2 linked regions of the Macaca mulatta genome follow. Each later gene encodes a partner of the first gene's protein in a complex. Links are inferred from orthologs where the notes say so. Each region holds a gene or a part of one and is shown in the gene's direction. Other genes may lie near its edges.

What was found.
Region 2: NBAS (region 1) and RINT1 share a complex: the UniProt entries of both Homo sapiens proteins name them as parts of the NRZ complex. The link is inferred for Macaca mulatta from reciprocal best matches to the Homo sapiens genes NBAS and RINT1.

Annotation. Positions count from the first base shown.
Region 1 is NC_133418.1:109,476,986-109,487,453, forward strand, and holds part of NBAS (NBAS subunit of NRZ tethering complex), read left to right. Parts: intron 1-1,190; coding exon 1,191-1,254; intron 1,255-3,671; coding exon 3,672-3,865; intron 3,866-5,224; coding exon 5,225-5,482; intron 5,483-6,188; coding exon 6,189-6,314; intron 6,315-10,069; coding exon 10,070-10,221; intron 10,222-10,468. UniProt on the Homo sapiens protein: Involved in Golgi-to-endoplasmic reticulum (ER) retrograde transport; the function is proposed to depend on its association in the NRZ complex which is believed to play a role in SNARE assembly at the ER. Required for normal embryonic development.
Region 2 is NC_133408.1:145,130,687-145,141,154, forward strand, and holds part of RINT1 (RAD50-interacting protein 1), read left to right. Parts: 5' UTR 1-66; coding exon 67-108; intron 109-599; coding exon 600-645; intron 646-5,032; coding exon 5,033-5,217; intron 5,218-10,468. UniProt on the Homo sapiens protein: Involved in regulation of membrane traffic between the Golgi and the endoplasmic reticulum (ER); the function is proposed to depend on its association in the NRZ complex which is believed to play a role in SNARE assembly at the ER.

The DNA of each region.
Region 1 (10,468 bases):
AATGTAAGTTGGAAGGTACATGTGCCACGTAAATACATGGTGGCATGCGTGTGTTTGGAGTATATGGTACTGGTGATTTTGAGGCATTGAAAAATTATCAAGTGCCTTAAAATGACCAAATAAAGTTTCAGGTTAGTTGACTGCTTTCAATAATATGTACCTTATTTTTTTAAAATGATTTTTTGAAACTTAGTCATCTTTTCCTATGATTAAGTAAGCCAGGACGCTCCATTTCTTCCCTCAGTATATAAATAGCCTTTTATGGTAATTTTTGTTTCTGATTAAGTTTAAAGACTGTGTCTTCTGTTCTCAAGGTCTGCTCTGAGTGATTTACCATAGTAGTGGAGAACAGGAAGTTCTTCCAGGCTGTGGAAAGAAATAGCTCTGAGATGTGAGCCATTGAAAAATTGATAGTAAACATGTATGTGTATTTTGTTGTATTAGATGAAAAAGCAGTTTTTTGACTTATGTATAACAACACTTTTTTTAGATTTCAGATTTCAAATAAGTACCCCAACTATTTTTTTTACTCTTTGCCCATACTATTATAATTCCGGAGACTAAAAAGGGAACACTAAGCCAAGAGGGTGTCAGGTAATGGCTTATTCTCAAATTGATATTTGAGAGATATTGATGTGCTGTTATATTCTCAAAGATGAGCATGACACCATATTGCCCTAAGATTACAGTATGAATGCATGCATGGTTATATTTTTTTAACCTGGTAAATTCTTAGTCATAAAAAGGACTAGGACGTAACATGAAGGTTTCCTAGTCAAGTCTCAAAGCTTTGAAAATCACAGCCTGGAGAGGTTGCTCAGTTTATAAGTGGCTCGGATAAGACCTGTATCCAGGCCAGTGTTTATTCATCACGTGTGTGTATGTGTATAGAACGAATTCTTAGTGTATTTTGCTTTCATATGTATTGGTGGTATACTTGGTATCCTATTGTTCATATGCGTATGCTATATTCTTCATAAATTGAGTCATAATATGTACATGTGCACATTTTAAGTGTAAGAACAATCGCTTTTCCAGACTATCATGGCAAGAAATAGATTTCAGCTAGTTGTAATTGAGAGATCAAGGGAAAGCATCATCTCTTTATTTGAAAAAGTCCACAGTTCTTGATGATTTTCATATAATTTTCTTACATAGTTGACTCAGGAAGTCATTATTTTCATATTTAGCCAGGCTATGATGACCTTAATCCTGATTGGAGGCTCTCTACTGAGAAGAGAAAAAAAGTCAAAGGTGAGTTGTATGAAATATGATAATTGAAACCTTAAGAGACTTCTATTATTATACAAGATGCTCTTTGGATGATATAAAAAATCTCCAGATACTTTTGCTACACTTTGGAAGAAACATCAAGATTTCATAGATTTGGTCAAGGCAACAGATCCAGTTTTCTGATGGTCAGGCTTTCCCAAAAGCGAGGTCAGAGCCCAGGGTATGCAGCATGGCTCTCCTGCCAGGAGCCAGCATTGAGATGGTACACTGAGTTCAACGCTTAGAAGCCTGCTCCTTTTCAGATGCTCCTGGGTGAGATCACAGAGCAAGATTCATCAAAGAAGAAACACTGAGTAAACTTACCTCTGCCGGTTGGGGGTAATTAGGGTTAGGTTGGTGAGGCTTTCTTTGTCTTTGCATACATTTCCATGTTTTAAAGAAAAAATTTCATTTTTACAGTGAGCATATATTGTTTTTATAAATAAAAATCAAGATTTACATTTAAATAAGAGTAATAATTGTCATTTAATTGCTAGATTAAAGCAGAGATATTTTAAAATCCTGTAGGGGTTACTTTTGAGTTTTTTTTTTACTTTTAGTTCTTGACTATGTGTTATTTCTCTTTAGGTGAAACTTTCTAAGTTAAATCCGTGATGAATTTTTAAGTGTCTTCTGTAAAATCAGTGATAGTTACAAGGTTCAAGGTCTGTATTACGATATATTTTTAGGCTGGCACGGTGGCTCATGCCTGCATTTTGGGAGGCCAAAGCAGGTGGATCACCCAAGTTCAAGAGTTCAAGACCAGTCGGGCCAACATGGTGAAACCCTGTCTCTACTGGAAATACAAAAATTAGCCAGGCATGGTGGTGCACACCTGTAATCAGATACTCGGGAGGCTGAGGCAGGATAATCGCTTTAACCTGGGAAGCGGAGGTTGCAGTGAGCTGAGATCACGCCACTGCACTCCAGCCTGGGTGACAGAGCAAAAGTTCATCTCAAAAAAAAAAAAAAATGCTTTTAGTTCACATTTAAAGAAGATTAAAAATATTGATTAATATTATGCATCAGGTTCCATGCTTTGAATTATCTGCTTTAGTTAAATAATCATCCAAAATATTCATCCAGACATATTTTTGAGGAAAAGTAATACTTTGTCAAAGCAGAAATTAGAATTTTATTTTAGTGATTTGCTCCTCTTTCTTTCTACTTCACACTTAGTGATAAGCCCCAGGAACTCTGCCTTTCACATTTTCTTGAAACTCCTTATTTACATGGATTGCCTTAGGCTTACTTGGGAAAAAAGTGTTGTTAGAGCTCTTTATTTTCCTTAAAATAGTGAGTCTCATGGTTCTGAATTCCATATTTAAAATCTCTTCTAGTGTAATGTTTAAATATGTTGTTAAATTTATGGTTTACTTTTACCTTTAAACCATATCATATGTTTTGTATAACAGATGATGTTCAAAAATGTACAATAAAATTATAATAAATATGGCATTGCCTTTTGAATGCCTTAGTTTGGTGAACAATAATTCCTTTTCTTTTTCTTTTTCTTTTTCTTTTTTTTTTGACAGAGTCTCGCTCTGTCACCCAGGCTGGAGTGCAGTGGCACCATCTCGGCTCACTGCAACCTCCACCTCCTGGGTTCAAGTGATTCTCCCGTCTCAGCCTCCCCAGTAGTTGGAACTACAAGCATGCGCCACCATTCCTGGCTAATTTTTGTATTTTTAATACAGATGGGGTTTCACCGTATTGGCCAGGCTTGTCTTAAACTCCTGACCTTGTGATCTGCCCACCTCAGCCTCCCAAAGTGCTGGAATTACAGGCATGAACCACTGCGTCCAGCCCATAATTCATTTTCATTTCTAAAGATTCTTTGCTAGCCATAGATTTTTTTTTCCCTCTCTGATTAGTTATAAGTTTAAGAGGAAATCAGCACTGGAAACTATTACATATCTGTCTTATATTTTTCTAAAGGGTATATTTCTCTCAGTGTTTGTCTGAAAGTGGTATATGTACATTTTTCAAAACATTATATTACCTTCATGTATGCATACCTGGTACACACCTGCCTTTCAACTTAGGTTGAAAGTGGTGACACATCTCTCTCCTGAGTATATTCTTGAGATGAAAGACCCTAGTTTATTTGCCTTTGTATCCTTAGAGCTTTAGACTGCCTTTGTATCCTTAGAGCTTTAGACCTAGACTGACATTGTTGGCACCCAATTTGTCAAGTGAATTACCATTTTATACCTCATAAACTTTTGAGGATGACTTACATTTTAATTTTTCTTATTTTTTTCTCATTATTTAATATACCATTAAGGGGCCAAATAACATAGGTAAATTTGGTTTTAAAATTGATTCTTATACTAAATATTTTGAATTTAAACCACATTAGCAGATGCATTTGTATTGATTTGTTTTTCCCTTCTTAGATAAAGAGTCCTTTTACCCACTGATAGATGTCAATTGGTGGGCAGACAGTGCAGTGACTTTAGCTCGATGCTCCGGTGCCTTAACTGTTTCGTCGGTGAAAACTTTGAAGAATTTACTGGGAAAATCCTGTGAGTGGTTTGAACCATCACCTCAAGTCACTGCTACCCATGATGGGGGATTTTTAAGTTTGGAGGTAAGGCTTTTTCCCCTTTGTTTGAGAATAGTTATATATTTAACCAAAAATTTAAATATCTGGTTTTTATTTGAGTTGTCTTATTATCTTGTCTTTAAAAACAAAAATCTGTGACTGGAATCAGGTAATGGTTGCAGTATAAAAAATTCGTTTTTTAGTGAATAAAAAATTGTAATTTAAGATAATGAAGAAAATTTGTTGTCATTTTGCTTTGTATAAAGTATTTCTTTTTCACTGAAATGGTAGATTTTTTTCTCCCCTGGATTAGTCATTTTAAAATGTAGAATGGTATCACTACCTAAGAAAAATACTCTTTAACCTATTTCTAAAAAGCATGGCAACTAAAGTTTTTGATTCTTTTAGTAAGGAAACTTGTTTATCATGACAAAAGACTTGAAAATAGAGGCTAGTTCTTTAAAGTTATCTTTTGGTCATTTAAAAATTGTATTTTAAGTCTTTCAAGGGTAACAACCTTTCATAGCTTTCACTTCAGCAATGCAGATTGACATGTTTTTTACTCTGAAGTTTGTTATGGAGTCTAAAGATGTTCCTTAAAGAAAACTATGACTTAAAATCTAAGCCAGCTCTGTTAAGTCTGAATGAAAGTTATCTTGAACAGCCAGGCTTTCAGACTCAGAACTTAGCGAAGCTGTTAGACATTTTTATAAAGGGGTGAGGGAGAGCTGTTCTTGGTAAAGCAAATTTAAGTACCTTTATGTTCATTCTCTGAAGAGATGAAAACAGATCATCAAATTATCAGGTACAAGACCTGATAATTATAAGTACAAGAGCATATTAATGACCTGTTATTAAAACAGGCTTTAGACTGGGCACAGTGGCTCACACCTCTAATCCTACCACTTTGGGAGGCCAAGGCGGGTGGATCACTTAAGGTCAGGAATTCGTGACCAGCCTGGCCAACATGGTGAAACCCCATCTCTAGTAAATATACAAAAATTGGCTGGGCGTGGTGGTGGGTGTCTGTAGTCCCAGCTACTCAGGAGGCTGAGGCAGGAGAATCGTTTGAACCTAGGAGGTGGAGGTTGCGGTTGGCTGAGATCGCGCCACTGCATTCCAGCCTGGGTGACAAAACAAGGCTCCATCTCAAACAAAACAAAACAAAACAAAAAAACAGGCTTTAGTTTAGAAGATTTGGAGCTGATCATGTATGTGCATATTTCTGGAGCTGATGTATATAATGCTTGCTGTAAAGTTCCTTTGAGTTCCATTGTTAATCTTGATCACATAACTGATTTAATGAATCAAACCAGATTAGATTTAGAAATTTTTTTTTCATTAATTCTAAAAAGTTATTCTTAGTTCCTAACTATTAATTTCAAATCTCCTTTTTCAATTTAGTGTGAGATTAAACTTGCCTCCAAACGATCTCGTTTGGAGACTAGGGCTGGAGAAGAAGATGAAGGAGAAGAGGATTCTGATTCTGATCATGAAATATCTGCCAAGGCTCGCTACTTTGGTTATATAAAACAGGGCCTTTACTTGGTGACTGAAATGGAGCGATTTGCACCAGCACGGAAACGCCCACGAACCATTACTAAAAACTACCGCCTTGTGAGTTTGCGCTCCACAACACCGGAGGAACTTTATCAGAGGAAGGTGAGACAGTAGCGTACTACTACCCAAGTTTGAAGTCATCAAGCTTTTCTTTTATTGGGAAAAAGTTAATTTTTTAATAAAGGAGAAAATTTCAAGAGGGATGTTGGATCATTGACATGTTAAAAATAGCAGTTCTCTAAAGCTTTTTAAAATAATGCTAATCTTTGTACCTAAATAATCAAAATCAAAACCATGGATAAAGTTGAATTCACTTAGACTGATTATCCACTTGGTGGCTTAACTCATTTCTTTGCTACCCTTCATGTGGCCTTCAGCTCTCCCTTTATCTGTGTTTAAATCAGCTATCTACAGAGGGTGAAGGAAGAAATGCTAGTCCAGGACTTGCTTGGGAAGCCAAGGTGACCAGCACTGTGTGTTTACATGATTTGTGCTGTTCTTGCAATGTCATGGTAGGAGCTCTGGACTAGAAGTTGGGTTGTTCCATGGTTGTCTTGGTTTTGCCATTGTTTTACTCTAAAATGAGAGTTTTGCACCTTTTATCTTTCATCTTTCTGTTAAAGTCCTGAAAGAAACACGAGATCCTTCTGCTCCTCAATATGTCTGTGAGCTTCTGGTGCCACAGTGCACAGGAATTAATGACATGCTGGATAGGTCCAAGGGATTATCATCATTCATTGTATCATCATCAGGACCCTGTAGATAATTCAGTCATGTAACATTCCTGTCTTTGTGTTTTTATCTGAAGATTGAAAGTGAAGAGTATGAGGAAGCCTTGTCCTTGGCTCATACCTATGGCCTGGATACTGACCTCGTATATCAGAGGCAGTGGAGGAAGTCAGTGGTCAATGTTGCTTCAATTCAGAATTATTTGGTATGTGTAAATATTTTGGTAATGTAAAATGTATATTCATATAGTGTCTTTTGTTTATAGGGCTTCATTTTAGAGAACTTTACATTGCTGACTTTTCTATAATACAGTCAATGAAGTACAGTTTTCTCATCTGGAAAAATGGTCTTTTTGTTAGATTTTATTGCCCCTGCAACTGGACTTTGATGCTGAATACATGTGAACAAATATTCACTGATAAACCAGCTGACTACTTGGTTTCGGCCTAATGTTTTCTTTCCTGTACCACAATCACTTCACTTTACCTGCATTAGTCAAGAGCTAGTCAGGTGCCAGAAACCACACAGTAATTTAAACCGGGAAATTTACAATGTGGAGAATTATTTTCTAGTAACCAGAAATGAACGATAGAGAACGCTAAGGAATACCCTAGGGCTGAAGGGACGTATCCATGGAGGGAATGAACTTGGAAGGGAGGCCCTTCCCCTAGGCTGGGATTCAGACCCGTTGGACCAGGAGTGGTTGCAGCATGTAGGATGGAAGAGAAGTTCTCTGGGTTGCCTTGAGCCAGGGCTGGTCCACAGTTGCCAAGGTTGGCAGTCGGGGAGATATGGGATGGATAGGAAAGCTGGACGCCTGCTTCTGGGGGCCAGTGAGCTGAGGATGGGGGCCAGAAGACCCCAGGGACTATCCAGCAGGAAACCCCTACCAGCATGCATGTGGCTCAAGGCTGGTAGATAATTAAGGAATCATGGCCAAGACTGGCAAGAAAAAACTGTCTACTCCTATAGGCGGCCTTTTTGTAGCTTCCAGTCTGGGAAGCTTCTCTCTTTGGTGCGTGGGAGATTCACTAGAAAACAGTCTGCCCACGAGAGTGCCAGTGAAACTCAGTGGGAGGGTGTCAACAGAGGGAGGAAGTGGGGAAGTAAGTGCCACTTGATGTCCCACACATGCCTTGTTGGTGGCCAAGCCATAGGAGCAAGAAGAAAAGAACCAAAGCACATCACGACTAGAAAGCAGAGCCTCTTCTTTTGCAGTGGCCCTCCAGCACCCAGAGCTTAATATTGTGTCAACTGCAAATGACATACGCTATCACAGAGCTGGCTTTGAGGGGAAATTTGGAGCTGAGAGGCAATAAATAGGTAACATATATGAAAACTGCCAAATACGCCTGTTTAAAACTTAAGTCTCAAAATTGGATACTTCCTGTTACCTGCCTCCCATAGTTAAGATTAATATACAGTCTTGTCTCAATTAGTTTTAGCCGCTGCAACAAAAATATCAGACTATGTGGTTTCAACAGCAGAAATTTATTTCTCACAGTTCTAGAGGCTGGGAATTGCAAAATCAAGGTGTTGACCAATTTCATTCCTGGTGAGAGCACTCTCCTGGGTTGCAGATGGATTTCTTTCTTGCTGTGTCCTTATATGGCAGAGAGCAGAGAGAGAGGCAGCAAGCTGTCTCCTGCCTCCTCTTGTGAGGACGCCAATCCTGTCATGGGGCCTCCACTCTCATGACCTGATTGCTTTCTGAAGGTCTCATTTCCAAACATCATCACTCTGGGAATTAGTTTTTCAACATGTGAATTTTGGGGGACACATTGATTTCATAGCAAGCCTGTATGTTTTAACCTTTGGCATCTTTGTAAGAAAGACTTATAGTTAGACTCATGACATACTTTAAAAAAGGTTGGGACTTCTGATCTTAACATGTAGAAAGGAAAATACCTTTGCACTGTGGAAGATTGTGGGAAACACTGGGAAAATTTCATGATGATTACTTCCCTAAAAGTTTTGTACATTAGTAATTAAAAGTAAAAATATAACATGAAAAAGTTGTATGGAAGAAGATGATGCATCAGCCAAACAGGATGATAAACTTAACATTAATACAAGCAAGATATCAGAGGTGAAAGAGCATGAGAGGTAATGAAACGGAAGAAGACAAAGTTACTTGTATTTTCTTTAGAAAATCAAAACACTAATTCTGTATTATTTTTCTTTGTTGTTTTGTAATCTAAGACAATGAGCTCATGAGTTCATGTATATCTTTTTCTGGGATACAGTAAAGGACAGTTTTTATCTCTGAAGGAGTTGAGGGATGTTAGGAGAGACAAAACAAGTACTTTTCTGGGGAGGGGAATATTTTGTTTAGTTAAATAAATAGCCAGTTAAGAGCAAGAGCACTATGCTGGGGACTGCAAAGGGGTACAGGACAGGCATAAATGTGACTTTTACTCATTGGGAGCTTATGATTTTTTTTTTTTTTTTTTTTTTTTTTGAGATGGAGTTTCACTCTTTTTGCCCAGGCTGGAGTGCAATGGTGCTATCTCGGCTCACTGCAACTTCTGCCTCCCTGGTTCAAGTGATTCTCCTGCTTCAGCCTCCCGAGTAGCTTGGGACTACAGGCACATGACACCACACCTGGCTAATTTTTGTATTTTTAGTAGAGATAGGGGTTCACCATATTGAATGTAACTGACCATATAAACAGATTTCAGATAAAACTCTAGAAACCCAGTGAAGGTAGTGATTATTATTATAGATCTGGTAGTGATGGAAGGCTTTATATAGTGAAGATGTTTGGAGCAGGGATTTGGAAGGATTTAAAGTAGACCTTCTTGAGTGAGAAGGAAGGAAGACATTCTTAACAGGACAGATGGTATGAACGAATGAAAAGACGTTGAGCATGATTTATGAGGCCCATGACTAAATCTGTTTTATTCACTGCTGTCTTTCCATGTCTACTTCAATGCCTGGTATGCAGTAGGTGCCCAGTAAACATTTTGTGGATAGATGAGCTCTGTACATCAACCAGTTTGCTGGCACTGATATTTGACAATAGTGAACATTGGGAAATATGATTAAAAAGATATATTGATTTGGGTTCAGGAGGATGTGGAAAGGTTGTGATGACTTAGGCATTTATCTACTGTTGTGGATTTCTGACTGTGGAAGCACAGAGGAAGATGGTGTAGAGAGGATTGGAGTGGAAGGAAGGTAGGAAAGCTTGCTCAGAGCAGGGGACTCCTGCAGTGTCCTGGATATTTTGTGTTGATGATTTAGACTGGTATGGAGGCTGCAGCTGTGGAAAAGGGAAAGTGAATTAATAAGAGACATTTGAAGAAAGAACTGATGTGAGGCAATATATAAAGGATCCTAGGGAATGAGTCAAATATTAATTGAAATTTGTTACCATAATAGCTCTTTGTAGGAGGAGGGCAAGTCAGGGATTTTGAATGGAGTTGGAGAAAGCAGTTGGGAGGGAGGAATAGGACCTTGATCTTTCCAAAAAACAGCATATCATGACTTTTTATGATTAAGTTATTTACACCCTGGGATATATCTCATGGTCAAATAAATACAGAACTTTGATGGGCTCATTTGTTAAAAGTTAAACATGCTTATTAATTATGGCAGAATATATCTTCTCTTTCTGCCTTATTGTCTGCTCTATTATACAGCCACAGTGCAAGCCAAAGGCGATTATACAAGTTAGGAGAAAATGTCTTATATTACCAAAAATGAGTCCTGAGCTTTCTGTCTCTGTGTAGCTCATTAGAGGAAGAAAGCAAGCAGGTAAACTCACACTCCCTGCATCCAGTTGTAATCACCATTAGGGAATTGGCTGCTTTTCTTTTGAGTTCCTCTAGCAGCTCCCTGTGGCCAAGGTCCTAAATAGCTGTAATTAGATATAGCTTTACAATTCTGAAGGCAGTTGTAATGTGTTGTGAGATGTCATGGATTCTTTAATTCCTCTGTTTCTTCTTCTATATCCAGAGTAAAATAAAGAAGCGATCCTGGGTTCTCCATGAGTGTTTGGAAAGAGTTCCTGAAAATGTGGATGCTGCCAAAGAACTGCTTCAGTATGGATTAAAAGGCACAGACCTGGAGGCTCTTTTAGCAATAGGGAAAGGAGCAGATGAAGGCAGGTTGGTTATAGAAGGAATTGGATTCAAAGTAAAAGTGACTTTGTGAGAACTTTTGTACTGAGACATTGGACTGGGTAAACTTTTCTTTAAGTTATTCTCTACTGAAGCAGTTGCTTTTGATCAATACTTTCTTATCTGAAGTCATTGCTCATCAGGCATTTGGAACTTTTTAAAAAATATAAATATGAGAATATATCTGAGAAGTAAATAATTAAAATGAGACTGACATGATTACCATTTGAAGACC
Region 2 (10,468 bases), on another chromosome or scaffold:
GGCCTTAGGCAGGCTCCACAGGCCACGCTGGCTGCGAATGGAGCCCAGGACTCGCGTGGAGGCGAGATGCTGCCAGCTGGCGAGATCGGCGCCTCTCCTGCAGCCCCGGTGAGACGGCCCTGGCGTCCCTGGGAGGGGACATTGGTGGCCTACTGAGGTGGCACAGACCTCCCGGGGAAGATAGTCCCGGTGAGGTGACCCTGTAATCTTGTGAAGGTGCTTCCCGCAGCTTAGATTAGAGGCCCTTGCAAGACCTCCTAGAGGAGGCGGTAGTCCCAGTGAGGTGGCTTTGGCGGTCCTGGTGAGATGACAGATTTCTCTAGGGAGGTGGCCCTAGTGGGCAGGCAGGGTAACTCCAGGTCCTGCGGAGGTGACACAGACCTCCTGGGAAGGTGGCACAGACCTCCTGGGAAGGTGGCAGTGGTGGCACCAGGGAAGTGGCACTTTGGGGTACCTGATTGAGACGGCCCTGGCCACTCAGAAGGGGGGAGAGCGTCTGGAACCTCTCTGGCCTCCAGTTGGTGCCCACTGGGAGCCCCGTATGCTTTCCATCCACGACTTTAATCTTAATGTGCTTGTCACACCTGTTCTCCTTTTAGTGCTGCTCTGAAAGTGGTGACGAAAGGAAGAACCTCGAGGAGAAAAGTAAGCCAGCTGCAAACACCTAAGCTCTTTCTTCCCAGCTATCCCTCCCAAACCCAGCCTTCTAGGGTCTGCAACAGAGAAAGGTTCTTTGCCTATCTTTTAGATGCAGTATCGTTTTGTGCGCAATATGCTTATATGGTAATACTGATGACCATGATACACATATTTTTGTCTTTCTAAAATTGTAAAATACGGGATGCTCGGGAGAAGAGCACTTCCCGATCCATACCTAGTACAGGGACTGGAGTTTTCGCTGGAAGTCTGCCTATTATACGGGACTCAGAATAATTGGGGCCTGCCTGTCATTTTAATGAAACATCAACTTATTAAGCATCAGGAATTTGGAGGGGCCCATGATCTAGGACAGATGACCACCACCTTAATTGGGTTCAAAGGAGGCAAATGATAATTGTTTAGTTCACCTTCAGTAAATTTCACCTTCAGTAAATTGGCAGTTTAAAATTGCTCCGGGAAGAGCACAACGGATAACTTGGGTTCTGGATCTTGGACTGGACAGGAAAGGGGGAAAAGGTCAGTACCACCATTTCCTCCCTAGTACAGGAGTATATGTCAGGGATGTGGACTTTTGCCATTTTACTTTAATGGCAGGTTATTGCCAATCAAGGCCTCTTTAGGTACCTTTGAAGTAACATTTTTTGGGAGAGGAAGGGGAAAAGCATGTGATAGCTCTGCTATTGGAATGTTTGGTTCTTTTGACTGTGGCAAATAGTTGGGAATGAGTATTAGTAAGAAAAATGGTGCCCACCTTACCACATGGCCCTTAGGAGTAAGATTTGCCCTTAACATTGGCGGCTAGTAGAGTCTGCCTCAGAAAGAAGACTCTAAGCGGTCCATAGCACATGACTGTCGTAACTGCCACATCTCAGCTCCTTTTTCTTGAAGGATTTGAGAGTGCCTTGTATCTCTCAGTTAAACCCTTCCCTTTCCACTTTCGCTTCATTCAGATGCCTGGAAAGTAGTCGGATGCCTACTGAGCTGTCATTTTAATAAAATAATAGATGTAGACTATCATATCAAGGACTTTGTCCTTGTTCCTCTTTCCACGGCTCAGTCAAACTGCTTTGCGATTAGGAGTGCTCTTTACAAAAAATAGAAAAAGAGACACATAAAAACCTCCCAAACCACTGGTGTGTCATTTTGAAGAATGTCATTTTGCTAAGAATGTACTGTGCCACATTTGAATGGTTACACATCAAGGGTGTAATTTTTTTTTTTTTTTTTGAGACCTAGTCTCACTCTGTCTCCCAGGCTGGAGTGCAGCGGCACGATCTTGGCTCGCTGCAAGCTCCACCTCTGGGTTCCAGTAATTCCCCTGCCTCAGCCTCCTTAGTAGCTGGGATTACAGGTGCCTGCCTCCACACTGGCTAATTTTTGTATTTTTAGTAGAGGCAGGGTTTCACCACGTTGGTTAGGCTGGTCTCCAACTCCTGACCTCAGGTAATCCACCCTCCTCGGCCTTCCAAAGTTCTGGGATTATGGGCATGAGCCACTGCGCCCGGCGGGTGTAATTTTTTTAAAAAGTGAAGGTAGAGTTTCCTCCCTAAGGTACAGCAACTGTAGCATTCACAAATATTTCCTGCCTCCATTTGTCTGCAGATAACCACATAACTCACTTGTTTTATTTAAGATTAAAAAAAGGCATTGTGAGTTCTGTACATAATAGTAGATTATTATACATTACCATTATATATCAATGTATGATATAATTAATAGATAATAATATTTATATTAATATAATTAATACAAACTATATAATTTGTATTATGTAGTCCCATTTATAACCTTGAGATGTAGGCTGGGGCAAATGTTACCATTTGTTTTCTAGTTGGAAAATTGAGGCATAGTGTTATGTTAATATTGCCTCTCCTACCCAATTTAGAATTGACAATTTAAAATTGCTCTGGGAAGAGCACAACAGATAGCTTGGGTTCTGGATCTTGGACTGGACAGGAAAGGGGGAAAAGGTCAGTACCACCTCCTGATTCTCACAGCATGTGAAAAATCTTTTAATTCAATTCATATAAGTTAAACAAAGGAAATTTTGTTTGTTAGGGTGTAGGGGTGGAGAGAGGAACATACTCTGTATAGAACACATTGGTATATGTCAGGCCTCTGAGCCCACGCTAAGCCATCATATCCCTTATGACCAGATGGCCTGAAGCAACTGAAGATCCACAGAAGTGAAAATAGCTTAACTGATGACATTCCACCATTGTGATTTGTTTCTGCCCCACCCTAACTGATCAGTGTTCTTTATAATGTCCCCCACCCTTAAGAGTTTCTTTGTAATTCTCCTCACCTTTGAGAATGACTTTGTGAGATCCACCCCCTGCCCCCAAAACATTGCTCTTAACTCCACCACCTATCCCAAAACCTATAAGAACCAATGATAATCCCACCACCCTTTTCTGACTCTCTTTTCGGACTCAGCCCGCCTGCACGCAGGTGAAATAAACAGCCATGTTGCTCGCACAAAGCCTGTTTGGTGGTCTCTTCACATGGACACGTGAAACAGTATACTGTTAATCTTTACATAAATAGTTGAACAATATCTTACATTTACATTTTGCACTTAGGCATATCATTATTTAGATATTAATATTAGTAAGTCCAATATGTACTGGACTTATTAAATGTCACAAAACAGGTAGTTTATTTGCCATGGAAAGAATCTCACTTCATACTATTTAGTGGTTGCATTAGTCATTCATTTTGATTTTTTCCTAGTAATTTGTTCTGTCATATTTTCTTTTTTCTGTTTCTGACAAAGATATCTTCGTACAATGACCTTTGAAGCTTAAAAACAATTTTTTTTTTTTTTTTTTGAGGCAGAGCCTCACTTTGTCGCCCAGGCGTGATCTCGGCTCATTGCAACCTCCGCCTCCCGTGTTCAAGCGATTCTTCTGCCCCAGCCTCCCGAGTAGCTGGGACTACAGGTGTGCACCACCATGCCCAGCTAATTTTGTATTTTTAGTAGAGACGGGTTTTCACCATATTGGCCAGGCTGGTCTTGAACTTCTGACTTCGTGATCTGCCTGCCTCAACCTCCCAAAGTGCTGGGATTACAGGCATGAGCCACCGTGCCCAGCTAAAACCTTTTTACTTTTTTTTTTTTTTTTTTTTTTTTTTTTTTGAGACGGAGTCTCGCTGTGTCTCCCAGGCTGGAGTGCAGTGGCGTGATCTCGGCTCACTGCAAGCTCCGCCTCCCGGGTTCACGCCATTCTCCCGCCTCAGCCTCCCAAGTAGCTGAGACTACAGGCGCCCGCCACCACGCCCGGCTAGTTTTTTGTATTTTTAGTAGAGACGGGGTTTCACCATGTTAGCCAGGATAGTCTCGATCTCCTGACCTCGTAATCCACCCGCCTCGGCCTCCCAAAGTGCTGGGATTACAGGCTTGAGCCACCGCGCCCGGCCTACTTTTTTTTTTTTTTTTTAAAGAGATGAAGTCTCACTCTGCAGTCCAGGCTGGAGTGTAGTGGTGCAATCATGGCTCACTGCAGCCTCGATCTCCCTGGCTGCTCAAGCAATCCTCCCACCTCAGCCCACCTGAGACTACAGGTGCGTGCCACCATGCCTGGCTAATTTTGTTAGATAAAGTCTTGCTTTGTTGCCCAGGCTGGTCTAGAACTCCTGGGCTCAAGTGATCCTCCTGCCTTGGCTTCCCACAGTGCTGGGATTACAGGTGTGAGCCACTGCGCCTGGCCTTTTAAAAAACATTTTAAAACAAGAGTCTTCCTTTTGATGTTGCTCTAGACCATACTACTGGTTCCTTACACATTTCAAAAAGGTATTACGCCTTGTCTATTGAAACCTGTGATTACTGGGTCGCACTTTAGGAATTTTTCCTTTAATACTTCCCTCAGCTCTTAAGCATTTTACAGTAGTTGGTTGATAGAGTGCTTTAGAGCTATTCATCTGGGCATTTGTATGTATGTGTTGTTCTTTAAATTATTAACTTTGTTTTGTTTTGGTTTTGTTTTTTGATACAGAGTCTCTGTCTCTCAGGCTGGAGTGCAGTGGCATGATCTTGGCTCACTGCAACCTCTGCCTCTTGGGTTCAAGGGATTCTCGTGCCTCAGCCTCCCGAATAGCTGGGACTACAGGCCTGTGCCCCCATGCCTGGCTAATTTTTGTATTTTTAGTAGAGACAGAGTTTTGCCACGTTTGCCAGGCTAGTCTCGAACTCCTGGCCTCAGGTGATGCACCTGCCTCAGCCTCCCAAAGTGCTGGGATCACAGGTGTGAGCCACCATGCCTGGCAAAATTATTAACTTTTGAAGGTAGATACACTGCTTTTACATGTTTTACATTTTCTTTAACTCCATAGTACATAGTGGCGTTGAGTAATTGTTATTCTTTTGTTTTAGGTGACATAAATGTTACAGTTCTTATTGGAAGTAAACAAGTCAGTGAAGGTACAGATAATGGTGATCTCCCTTCTTATGTGTCTGCATTCATAGAAAAGGAAGTTGGAAATGACCTTAAATCTTTAAAGAAACTTGATAAACTCATAGAACAGAGGACAGTAAGTAAAATGCAGTTAGAAGAACAGGTAAGTATTGAAACTCACTGACATAATTATCAATGGTATACTTTTTACAATATAATGTCTATTATATATAGAATTTTAAAGATACAGAATGTGATAAATAGTCTATTGTAAACTGTTTAAGAGGACTTAAGAACCTACAATATACTACCTATTTTACAAATTAGGTAAAAGACAAAGTTCCTACTGATATAGTTTGTCTTGAAAACATATTGAGACCTAACATTTTATATAGATTTTCACAGAGTGACTTTTTTTTCCCTTTCATTCTGTTTCTAGTGAACATACAGTGACTTTTTTTTTTGGGACAGAGTCTTGCTCTGTCGCCCAGGCTGGAGTGCAGTGGCCGGATCTCAGCTCACTGCAAGCTCCGCTTCCCGGGTTTACGCCATTCTCCTGCCTCAGCCTCTGGAGTAGCTGGGACCACAGGCGCCCGCCACCTCGCCCAGCTAGTTTTTTTGTATTTTTTAGTAGAGACGGGGTTTCACCATGTTAGCCAGGATGGTCTCGATCTCCTGACCTCGTGATCCACCCGTCTCGGCCTCCCAAAGTGCTGGGATTACAGGCTTGAGCCACCGCACCCAGCTTCATACAGTGACTTTTAAATTGCTTTTACAAGCAAATAATTTCATGGCATGTAAAAAAATATATACCATGGTGTAAACACCATCATTTCAATTTTTTTTTTTTTTGAGATGGAGTTTTGTTGCCCAGGCTGGAGTGCAATGGTGCCATCTTGGCTCACTGCAACCTCCGCCTCCTGGGTTCAAGCAGTTCTCCTGCCTTAGCTTCCCATGTGGCTGGGATTACAGGCATGTGTCACTCTGCCTGCCTAATTTTGTATTTTAGGTAGAGATGGGGTTTCAACATGTTGGCAAGGCTGGTCTTGAACTCGTGACCTCAGATGATCCACCTGCCTTGGCCTCCCTTAGTTCTGGGATTACAAATGTGAGCCACTGTACCTGACCACATTTCAAATTTTAATAAATACACACATAGGGAGAAGTATAAAGTGAAAAGAAGTATAACATAATGGTTATTTCTGGGTGGTTGGTTGACAAGTGGTGTATTTAAAAAATATTTCTAGGCCTGGCACAGTAGCTCACACCTGTAATCCCAGCACTTTGGGAGGCTGAGACGGGTGGATCACCTGAGGTCAGGAGTTTGAGACCAGCCCGACCCACATGGTGAAACCCCGTCTCTGCTGAAAGTACAACAAAAAAAATTAGCCAGGTGCGGTGGCAGGCACCTGTAATCCCAGCTACTCGGGAGGCTGAGGCAGGAGAATTGCTTGAACCCAGGAGGCGGAGGTTGCCGTGAGCTGAGATCGCGCCATCTCACTCCAGCCTAGGCAATAAAAGCGACACTGCGTCTCAAAAATATATATTTCTATGTATTTATAGGTTTTTTTTCTTTTACAATGAACATACCACTTAAAATAATTTTTTAAAACCCGGCCAACATAAAACATTTTTATTGGGCTGGACACAGTGGCTCACGCCTGTAATCCCAGCACTTTGGGAGGCCGAGACGGACGGATCACGAGGTCGAGATCGAGACCATCCTGGCTAACACGGTGAAACCCCGTCTCTACTAAAAACACAAAAAAATTAGCTGGGTGCAGTGGCGGGCCCCTGTAGTCCCAGCTACGTGGGAGGCTGAGGCAGGAGAATGGCGTGAACCCAGGAGGCGGAGGTTGCAGTGAGCTGAGATTGCGCCACTGCACTCCAGCCTGGGTGACAGAGCGAGACTCCGTCTCAAAAAAAAAAAAATTTTTATCATATAGCTACTAAATTAGGTTAAGAAAATTCTGTGTGGGTTATTTCCAGCTTTTTGATCATCTTATGTTCTCCCGTCCCTATTACCTTAGGCCTCCACAGCTTCCTGTCTTCCCACCACAACTACTGCTAGTCTTCAAGTTTAGCCTAGCTTTGTCTGCCTTTTCACTCCTGCAGGCAGGTTGTGTGGACCCAGTTGGAGGAAGTCATACAACCGAGTAGGTTGGTGCCAACCTATGTGTGTGGTCTGCCACCCTGGCTGAGTATTCAGCCCCACCAGCAATCCTTCCATGGGAAGGTCAGCTCCTCTGCTACTCCCCTCAGCTGTTCTTTCAGATTCTCTTTGAGACATCTACCCAACCTGTCCTTTTTGCCCTTTCCTTTTCCCAAGCAGAAAAAAATAGAGGCCTAGCATGAATTTAGTGGCATTGAATTCAGTCTGTTGAATAGTCTATCCCACAATCCCCAAATTTACATGTAGTCATTTTTAACCTCATTCAGCAGAGGATCATTCTAAGGCAGACCTTATACCCCAGGTTCTATCTGCCACCTCAGTGAACTTGTGTCACTCTTATAATTTTACCCTGTGTTCATCAACCAGTCCTATCCCTTCAGCGTGTGCATATGGACAGGTCTTTTCTATAAAACCTTAACAAACAAACGAAAAAACCTGTGATCTTTTAGCAGGTATTAGTTCTTTCCTTTGATTGTCAGGCTTCAGAAGGTAACCTTTGTTATCTATGTCTACTTTTTAATTTGCCATTCATATTTGACCCACTGTAGTCAGGCTTGTTTCCGTAATGACCACAGAAACTTTTACTGAAGTTCCTTATTGAACCTTAAATTCAGCATGTCCAAAACTGTACTGATCCATTTTTTAGAGACATGTCTGTCTTGGTTAGATAATGGCACACTATCTGCCTGTCACCCAGACCTGAAGCCTAGGAGTCCTAGATTCCTTCTTATCATTCTCTATCTGTCACCAAGTCATCTGAGTTCTGCCTCAACATCTCTGGTGTCCATCCCATCTTTCCCACTCTTCTTTTTTTTTTTTTTTTTTTTTTTTGAGTAGGAGTTCCTGCTGCCCAGGCTGGAGTGCAATGGCACGATCTCGGCTCACTGCAACCTCCACCTCCCGGGTTCAAGCGATTCTCCTGCTTCAGGCTCCCAAGTAACTGGGATTATAGGCATGTGCCACCACGCCTGGCTAATTTTGTATTTTTAGTAGAGGTGGGGTTTCTCTATGTTGGGAAGGCTGGTCTCGAACTCCCGACCTCAGGTGATCCGCCTGAAAGTGGATCTTGGCCTTCCAAAGTGCTGGGATTACAGGCGTGAGCCACTGCGCCCAACCCCATCTTTCCCACTCTTGCTGATACCATCTTAGTTTAGGCAGGTTGGGAGCTTTGTAGAAATGCAGAATCTCAGTCTTACTTCAGACTTACTGTGTCTGAATCTGTATTATAAGAAGATCTCTAGGTGATTAATGTGCACATTCATTAAATGTAGCCTGTCCATTTTATTGCATTAATCCCACTGTTGAAATTACTTGCTTACAACTCTCTTGTATACCAAAGGGATCTTAAGGACGGATGCTGTGTCTTGTTTGTCTGAATATTTCTAGCACAGTGCCTGGTACAGAATAAGTATCTAATCACTGTTGATTGAAATTATTCTATGATGTTCTTTGTATTTGCTGATGACTAGTATTTGTATATGTTTTCCCATATACTATAAGAAAAATTCATTTAGTAAATGCCATTTTCTGTCTTCTTTTTTTTTTTTGAGATGGAGTCTTGCTCTGTTGCCCAGGCTGGAGTGTGGTGGTGTGATCTCAGCTCACTGCAACCTCCGCCTTCTGGGTTCAAGTGATTCTTCTGCCTCAGCCTCCCAAATAGCTGGGATGACAGGCATGCGCAACCATACTCAGCTCATTTTTGTATTTGTATTTATTTTACTTTATTTTATTTTTTGAGACAGTCTCACTGTGTCACCCAGGCTGGAGTGCAGTGGCGGGATCTCAGCTCACCAACCTCCGCCTCCTGGGTTTACCAATTCTCCTGCCTTAGCCTCCTGAGTAGCTGGGATTACAGGCGTGTGCTACCACACCCGGCTAGTTTTTTTATTTTTAGTAGAGACAGGGTTTCACCATTTTAGTAAGGCTGGTCTCAAACTACTTACCTCAAGTAATCCACCAGCTTTTGCTTCCCAAAGTGCTAGGATTACAGGCATGAAACACTGTGCCTGGCCGAATTTTTGTATTTTCAGTAGAGACAGGGTTTCACCATGTTGGCCCGGCTGGTCTCGAACTTCTGACCTCCAGTGACTTGCCCGCCTCGGCCTCCCAAAGTGCTGGGATTACAGGCATGAGCCACCGCACCTGGCCAGTAAATGCCATTTCTAAAGGCATTGCCTGGATATCGTCTCATCAAGTCAGTGGTTCTTAGCCTGGCCTTAATTCAGAATCACCTGGGGGTGTTGGCAAAATATAGATGCCCAGCCTGTTAGAATGAGATCTTTGTTTCCATTTTTTTTTGAGATGGAGTCTCGCTCTGTCACTCAGGCTGGAGGGCAGTGATGCAATCTCAGCCCACTGCAACCTCTGCCTCCTGGGTTTAAGAAATTCTCTGCCTCAGCCTCCCAAATAGCTGGGATTACAGTCGTGTGCCACCATGCTCAGCTAATTTTTTTATTTTTATTTTTTAGTAGAGACAAGATTTCCCCATCTTGGCCAGGCTGGTCTTGAAATCCTGACCTTGTGATCCACCCACCTTGGCCTCCCAAAGTGCCGGGATTACAGGCGTAAGCCTCCGTGCCTGGTCTGCAGTGTTTTTGTTTTTGTTTTTTCTTTGAGGAGTCTCGCTCAGAGTGACAGACACCCAGGCTGGATGGAGTGTGGTGGTGCAGTCTCGGCTCACTGCAACCACCTCCTCCCGGTTCAAGTGATTCTCCTGCCTTAGCCTCTCTAGTAGCTGAGGTTACAGGTGTGTGTCACCACGCCTGGCTAGTTTTTGTATTTTTAGTAGAGATGGGGTTTCACCATCTTGGCCAGGCTGGTCTCAAACTCCTGACCTCAAATGATCCGCCCGTCTCGGCCTCCCAAAGTGCTGGGATTACAGGCGTGAGCCACCATGCCCAGCCCTTGGTTTGCTTTGAAGGAAAATATTTAGTAGGTAGAGCATGTATTAATAAATTTTCTCAGCTGGGCGCGGTGGCTCACGCCTGTAATCTCAGCACTTTGGGAGGCTGGGGTGGGCAGATCACGAGGTCAGGAGTTTGAGACCAGCCTGACCAACATGGTGAAACCCTGTCTCTGCTAAAAATACAAAAATTAGCCGAGCGTGATGGCACACGCCTATAATTCCTGCTACTTAGGAGGCTGAGGCAGGAGAATCACTTGAACCCGGGAGGTGGAGGTTGCAGTGAACTGAGATCATGCCACTGAACTCCAGCCTGGGTGACAGAGCGAGACTCTGTCT